2 linked regions of the Danio rerio genome follow. The protein of the gene in region 2 binds, or shares a complex with, the protein of the main gene of each other region. Links are inferred from orthologs where the notes say so. Each region holds a gene or a part of one and is shown on either strand. Other genes may lie near its edges. The genes, in order: usp46 and wdr48b.

What was found.
Region 1: the proteins of wdr48b (region 2) and usp46 are in contact, whole or in part, in a crystal structure (PDB 6JLQ), measured with the Homo sapiens proteins. The link is inferred for Danio rerio from reciprocal best matches to the Homo sapiens genes WDR48 and USP46. Residues at the interface, in NP_065890.1 of Homo sapiens: Arg50, Trp77, Asp118, Tyr119, Lys121, Leu137, Arg139, Ser170, Tyr172, Thr188, Asp211, Asn212, Lys214, Ser230, Gly254, Trp256, Arg272, Ile364, Leu424, Lys425, Gly521; in NP_073743.2 of Homo sapiens: Arg181, Leu183, Asn184, Cys185, Glu186, Thr187, Cys222, Ser223, Glu224, Lys226, Cys232, Cys233, Ser234, Lys235, Gln236, Glu237, Gln239.

What each region holds. Positions count from the first base shown.
Region 1 is NC_133195.1:25,683,250-25,687,683, reverse strand, and holds the start of usp46 (ubiquitin carboxyl-terminal hydrolase 46), read right to left. Parts: upstream 3,025-4,434; 5' UTR 2,999-3,024; coding exon 2,963-2,998; intron 1-2,962. UniProt on the Homo sapiens protein: Deubiquitinating enzyme that plays a role in behavior, possibly by regulating GABA action. May act by mediating the deubiquitination of GAD1/GAD67.
Region 2 is NC_133177.1:53,176,402-53,180,236, reverse strand, and holds part of wdr48b (WD repeat-containing protein 48), read right to left. Parts: intron 2,786-3,835; coding exon 2,656-2,785; intron 1-2,655. UniProt on the Homo sapiens protein: Regulator of deubiquitinating complexes, which acts as a strong activator of USP1, USP12 and USP46. Enhances the USP1-mediated deubiquitination of FANCD2; USP1 being almost inactive by itself.

The sequences.
Region 1 (4,434 bases), on a different chromosome or scaffold from region 2:
GGAAACATTCATACACACTCTTTCACACATACACTACGGCCAATTTAGCTTATTCATTCAATGCACATGTCCCGCATGACTTTGGACTGTGGGGGAAACAAGAGCAAACTGGAGGAATCCCACGCAAACACGGGGAGAACATGCAAACTCATAGAAGTGCCAACTGAGCCAGCTAGGGTTGTGAGGCGATTGTGCTACCCATTGTGCCACCGTACCGAACCAGACATATTCAGATGAATTGTGGTTTCTTTTACAGTATATTACGTGTTTGAGGGACCCAGTAACTGCTCATTTGACCAGTAGCACTTTTTTGACAATTCAAAATTAAGAACAATATACAAAAGCCAGGGGATGACGACAACGAAAGGAAAAAATATATAAAAACATGTAAATGTTTGCATTCATTAATACTTAACAGATTTTTTTGTTTGTCAGATAAACAGCTTAAAGTCTGATTTTAAAATAAGAAATAATGGCTTTTGTATACTGACTTTTACCAACAGAAGTGATAAATTGATCAATAAATATTCTTTGTATAGTGATCTATTGAATGTAAAAAAAAGTTTAAAAAAAACATTTTAAAATAAAGTTGAAAGCTGGACATAACGTTGATTCTAATAAAAAACAGAAATCCATCAAAAAGTAACTACATATGGCAAGCCATTTTGACATTTAATCAATAGCCTGTTCTAGTATTTATTTTTATGTTACTACTACTAGTACTTATTTTTTTAGATACTAGTATCTTTTCCATTAAATACTAGTGCTTATTTATAGGTATTAGTGCCTATTCTTTAGATACTAAGTGTTTTATTGCTTTTAAAAATATACTAGTGCTTAATTATTAGACACTTTTTTTTTTAATTAGATATTAGTACTCATTTATCATAGATATATATACACTAGATATCGCATACCCTGAGTATGCGTCAATAGCGCCGCCACATTTGTACAGTGCTCCCAGGACAGAAGTGGTCAAGACAGTGTGCCAATGTGAAGATGCTGGACTTTAGCGCTGTGTACGGGTGTAGTAACGAGCAAACAAAGAAAACAAAGCACTAAGGCAAAACATTTAATACGTAAGATTTAGTTTTTTACATTTTTATGTTATGAACTTTTGTGGTTAACAAATATTGATGATGATAATACTCTCTTATCTTATTATAGTCTCTTACTACATTCACCATAGGGCAAAGGAGCACCAACTCACACTAAATACTAGGCTTATGCTAGTTTTGTTGAATAAAATAAGCAAACAATGTTATGAAATATGACAACAAGTTGCTGCAGTGCCAGAAACTTGTATTATTGTCAGCCAAGGGAACGAGTCGTTCATAACGGAATCCCATAAACGAATTACTCCCTCCGTTAGAATGAGAAGTGAAAGCATGAGGGGGTGTGTTTCAGGACGCGGAATAGACCAAATTAAACAAGGAGAGAGAATAATACATTTCCATGCACACAAACATATACTCTTTGTCGGCAATGCCGAAAATGCAGTGGAAAAAAGATGTAAAATTAAATTTTTGTAATTAAAAAAAAAAATATTTGCATACTGACAACCGGAAAAACTCCCGATCAGAGATATACGTGTATATATCTCTGGCTTTGGATGGCCACAGTCCTTCACTGCATCTTGGTCCCGCATTCATTTCATTTCCTGTACTAAAATGGCGGCTCTGCTGATGCATTCCTTCTAATAGACAACAGCAGGGTAGGCAACATCTAATGTATATATCTATACTCTCATTCATTAGATACTAGGTACCTATTAAATAGATACTAATTCTTATTTATTAGATACTAATACTTATTTTAATAGTGACTAGTAACCATATATACTAGGTATAAGTATATATTACTTAAGTACTAGTAGATAATAAATAGATACTATTGTTTATTAATTGGGTACTAGTATTTAATTAATGAGTACTAGTACCTAATGATTACCTTCTAGTACATAAAAAAAATATATGTACTAGTCCCAGCTGGAATACACACTAGTCAAAACTGAATAGTCGATATCTCAATGACATATCCTATAGAAATCAATGGGAAAAAAAAGTTACTAGTAACAACAGAATAGTTACTAGTCACTATTAAAATAAGTACTAGTATCTAATTAATAAGTGTCTAATAAGAAAGAACTAGTATCTATTTAATAGGTATTAGTATCTAATGAATAAGTACTAGTATCTAATACATCCTATCTATTTAAGTACTAGGACCTAATGAATAAAAACTAGTATCTAATGAATAAGTACTAGTAAATTTACAAAAGACAATAGTAGCTAAAGAAAAAGTACTAGTATCTAAATAATAGGCACCACTAGTGTCCAACAAATAAGCACTAGTATAATGAATAAGCACTACTATTTAATGGAAAAGATCCTACTGTAGTATCTACAAAGTAAGTACTATTAACATAAAAATAAATACTAGTACGGGCTGTTGAATAAATGTCAAAACGGCTTGCTATAATGGGCAACTCCAAAACAAATGTTAAAATGTTTCTGTATGTAGACCAACCTGCAGCACTGTTTAATATTCGTATACATTCAAAATGACGTCAGAATCAAAAACGACTAGACAATGAATACGCTATTTACATGTTAGAAAATACGGAGTATATAGAAAGAGCTACTGCAACAAAAAAGTACAGATATTTTTCACTGAGATTGCTTGATTGTTTAAAATGACAAGATTCACACTACATATACTATCACAAAACAAAGCGGAATCACTGACTGTAAAACTCATTTTAGGCAGTTAAGCTTTCAGTCACAGTTTATTACATGAGCAAGCAAACACGTCTAGTTATGATAGCTGCATTTACTTGAGAAGTGATCCAAGCATGCATCAGCTCATAAATGAGGTCATGCACCTGATTTTGAGGAAAGCCATTCAACCATCATCATTACGTAAGAGCTAGCCAGCATGCTATCCAAACACTTCTACTTACCATATTACAAATGGAGGCGATGTTTCTGACAGTCATTTAGTTTATAAGGTGCCTCTCGTTGCCATCTTTATGAAATAAACATGATTGTAACAGCGGAACACTGACAGGCCAAGCTGCAATCCCAACGGAGGACAGCAATCAGTGACCACTCAATTCCCGCCGCTCATGCAAAGTGCAAACAAAGCGTGAGATAAACGTCGGCGGCTTTCATCTAGATGTTTTCTTCATGGCCACTGCAAATGAGAATAAAAATGCTGGATAAACTTATTGTAAACATCTTTGCCAGTTGCACGTCCTAAACGAAACATTCACATCCTGGATTAGCGGTCAAACCCCGCCCATTGAGTCCCGATTGGTGCGTTTGGGGAGTACGACACGAAACGCTGGTCAGTTGATGGACAGGTCAACTGACCAATGAATGGTGAGAACATCAGTTGATAAATTCGCTGTGGCCAGTAGAATTTGGATTTGATAGATAAAGGGGTTAAATCAAGTAACAACCATTTCCACTTACAAGCCCCTAAGAATGCACATATAATGCAGATATAAAGTAAATTTATTTTTACTTTTCTGACAAAATGTATGACAATAGGTCTGTTTTCACAAAATATTGATCTTAATTTTTATCTAGTTTAAACAACACTGCCTCGTGTGCTGTGCAGCCATGCAAAATAGCGTGTGTGATTCTACTGAGTCGATTCTTTTCTCAAAACCGGTCAGAACGTTTTGTTTGCTGATCAGTCTGAATCATCAGAGTGAATCAGATCAGATTGACTCCCCAAATCATCTGAAGAGGCGAAATGAATTTAGAGGCGGTCCCCTTAAAAGTCCCAGAATTCCTCGCACCGGTCACACGTGTTCTTTCTTTTCCGTTTGCACAATCCCTGAGAGCAGGCACAGAAAACATGAGCGGAGGCAAAATTACCTCTGGTGAGATTAAATACTCAGATTAATGCACATATGTATTGTATTTTTTAATTAGTTAAATAGACTCTATGTTTTATTTTACTCCTGTATTTGCAACTTGGACTATAAATGTTTTAATTATTTAACCTGAACAGTTATAGTGGGCTTTCTAGAAGTGTTTAAGGCTTGGTAAATATTTTTATAATAAATATCTTTTAAATAATGAAGCAATGCATTTATTAAGTCACGTTAAGGTTAGTATTAAACACTAGTAACTTTTTAATTATTAAAAGGCCACGTGTTCTCTACACAGCACGTGGTGAGTTAGCGGTCTACTTGCTAATGTTTAGCCTAATGTTAAACTTATTTTTACAGACTGGCCATCTGAGCCCCCTGACTGAAGAGGAAATCACCAATTACTACAATGTCTGAAATATAAAGGTAAGGAAGTGTTTTTTTATATATAAATATATATATTTAATATCTAAAAGGAAGAGTTTTAGCTCTGTGATGGTTCTAAGGTGTTTGTTCACCCTTGCACAAATCTAAAACAAAGCATGAAATCC
Region 2 (3,835 bases):
AATATTGAAACTACTAGGGAAGAGTGGAAAATATTTTTAAAGCACAGTGGAAATCAACATCCTCCTCAGTATGGAGGGAATTCGGCTGGAAAAATATAATTAAGTTTTTTCGTCACCCCTGAGCAGAAGAGATACTTAAACAAAAATGCAGTCTGTTGGAAACTATGTGGCTCAAATGAAGCGAATCATACACACACATTCTGGAAATGTTTAAAAATTCAGGCATTTTGGAAAGAACTTCATAAATGTTCAGAGATTATATTCCATACCCCCATTCATTTTTCTTTCTCAACTCTATACTTAGGTCTCAATTATCCTATGCTAAAAGAAAAATCTGATGAAAAAAATGATGAAAGTTTTGCTGAAAGCCTGTAACAAAGCCATAACAGAATAATGGTTACAGCTCAAAGCAACTCAAATTAGTGACTGGTCTGAAATAACTTGTGATATCTATAAGATGTGGAGGCTAACAATGAATCACCATTTACAGACTGTGGAGCTTAATGAGACATGGAGAAAATGGGTAGAATATATTCTCCCGTTAAGGCCAGACTTGCTATAGAATGTACAATAGTCAGAGAGATGTGCATTTTCTTTGTTTATTTTATGTATTATTTTTTTGGAAGAAAAATAATGAAAACAACAATACCTATTTAAAAATAAACAAATAAAAGTTACTATTTAAGGTGCTATAAGTACCATCCTCACAGTTTCATATGTATATAGTTTATGAAAAAAGAAAAAAAAGTGCTGATCGAGTGTAACAATATGGGTTTAAAAAAAATACACAATTGATTTGTAATTGAAAAGCAATAAATCAATTTGTTCATCAGTTTTCATTTGGATGGCATACAACACAATTAGGAGTGTATTGTTTTGATTGCTCTTATAATGTCCTTGAGTCAATAATGTAATTTCCGTATTTATTTATGCATGGAATTTTTTTATTTTTATAGTATTTTATATTTTCTTTTATTTTTTACAATTTCTGGATACCTATGATGAGACATCGCTATTGCATGTGTCTATGTGTGTGCGTGAATGTCTGTACTTTCTGTAGATGTGTGTAACGTGTGCATGGGACTTTCTTTTTCTTTTTTGCTCGGATTAAGTTATTTTCTGTAATATATCATGACACTGCTGACAGAAGAATAAAGCACAAGATGTGGGATGAGACCTGTGTGAGCCTTGATTTATTTTTCTGCTGCTACACGAGTTAGGTGAGCTCTCCTGTATTTTTTTAACTCAGCATGTTACACGACGTCTTTCACATATATGCGAAATATGCAGGTGTAAGTAATATAAATCATCCACATATCTTTTGCGACTTCATTATCTTAGATGTAAAACACATGGAAAAGCTGCCTAAAGAGAAACAATGCAAATTTGCGCGCACACACATAGAGAGGTGCTGCACGTGCTGGTAAAGTGTGTGTGTGTGTGTGTGTGTGTGTGTGTGTGTGTGTGTGTGTGTGTGTGTGTGTGTGTGTGTGTGTGTTTATAGCAGTTTGACTGATAAATATGAATTTGTAGCCAAATCGTTTCGGTTTCAGCATTTCCCATTGTTTACATCGTTGCTACAGCATACCGTTACCGCTATACACTGAACATGTCATGATCAATTTTAACAAATAAAATCACTTACAGGTTGTAGTTCACAGTTTCTGCTTTGAGGAGATTTTAACCAAATCCAGCACTGAACTGGGAGAGATTCTGGAAGCTGTGTTTTGTCAAATCATGCTTGCTATGTGTTTTATAATTTTCTGGAACATAATTAATATTGAACTGTAAGTACTTCTGTCTGTGTGTCGTCTCCTTTGGAAGACCAAATACAGAAACAGACGAAGCTCTGTGGAAACAGTAGCGCTGGGATGCATTTTAGCTCTCTTTGCTATAACATTACAGCGCCTCTGGCCACGGCCCTTACCTGGCGCAGTGTTTGTGCGTGGTAAAAGTATGTTTGTAATCTTACAGGTGGCGAAGTATTTTTTTGTAGTCCCCAAAATTTGTTCATAGTAGGCTTTACTAAGCTAACTCTGTAAAAACCAAGGTCTCCCTTTGCATTGAACTTTGAGCTTTTTACATTCAGAGATGCAGTTTATGTTCACACAGATACATTACACATCAACTAAAGTTTAAAATAGGACATCGTAGTGGACCACCCCTTTAAGCATGTACAATTATTCTTTAGTTAGTTTAAATGATGCAAAATATCTTTATATAATATACACAAATCCTTTGATTCTCTAAATTTATGCCACATTTATACTAATTTGCTCAATTCCTTTTTTCTTAAGCTTATTCAATTGTCTTGATAAACAGTCTTATTTAGTTAAAATATAATTATTCTGTAAAATATATTTGTATAACAAAAACCACAATTATTCTGCTTCTCTGAATTGATTTATTTACATTATTTAAACAGGTAGCAGTAAATTAAATTATCTAAAAGTAAAATAGTAACCTCTTACATAAATTTTTCAAATGGAAAAGTCATTTAATTACATTAACTAGTTACGTTGTGACCAATTACACCAACACTAGATAGTGCACTCACTACAGAGCAAATGGGTTTTTTCAGAATCTTCTGTTTCTTCTCACTCAACGTATAATAAGTAGGATGGTGTCAACAGTGATGATTTAGCATTTACTCACTGGTGACTGTATTATTGGAGGCGGTCAGAGCTGTCAGTGTGTTCACATCCCACAGAAAGATCTGCCTGTCCAGCCCAGCTGATGCCACCAGTTCCTTGTCCTTTGCATATGCTAAAGCTTTGACATAGTCCTACAGCATAAATCACAACCACATCACCAGGTTAGACATATGATGATAATAAATAATTCAATATATCGTGACAATGAACATGCACAATATTGAAATTGTGGGCACTTCAAAATATTGTGAATAAAAATTTGTTATTTAAACTTTTAGACTGCCTTGTCAACAATATTTTACATGTATACTTGGATTCTGTGTAATGTGCAAGTAATCCAAGAATATATATCTACAGGGTTGGCCATTTATATTGATACACCTTAATAAAATGGGAATGGTTGGTGACATAATGTCCTGTTCTTGGCACATTAGTATATGTGAAGGGGCAAACTTTTCAGAATGGGTGGTGACCATGGTGGCCATTTTGAAGTCGCCATCTTGGATCCAACTTTTGTTTTTTCAATAGGAAGAGGGTCATTTTGACACATCAAGCGTATTGGAAATTTCACAAGAAAAGCAATGTAATCGATATCGCAATGTGGACATCTGCAATTGTCACATCGCAGGACCTGCAATATTGTAGCGGGATTATAGATGACCAGGAACCACAGTTGATTGTGTTCGTGTGATTGTGTAAGCATTTAAAGCATTTTAAAGCATTCATGCGCAATAAATAATGTTTGTAACTTTGAGAAAGGTTAACTGTATTGAAGTATATATACACACAATGAAGACAACACTGCTACTTTACATTTCATTATTCAATTTGTGTACCTGAATACTGCTAGACTCCCAGAAAATCTGTGTCAATGTTTTTATTTATATCTTTGCTCGGCTGTTTTTATCAATGCTTATGATTGGTTTATTATATTTAATGCATATGCACTTATCATCCTAATCAATGTAAAATGATGTAAATTTTTTCCCCAAATAGAGCTATGGACCATTTTCACAAGCCTGTTAAGACACATTTAACGATCATCAGCAGCTTAAATTCTTAAAAGTTTTTAATATTTAGATTTTTTTAAACCTATAAACATTTCTATGTATTTAAGTATGTAGTATATTATCTTTGCTACAAATGACAAAAAAACATCTATAGGGGCAGGACAGTAAATT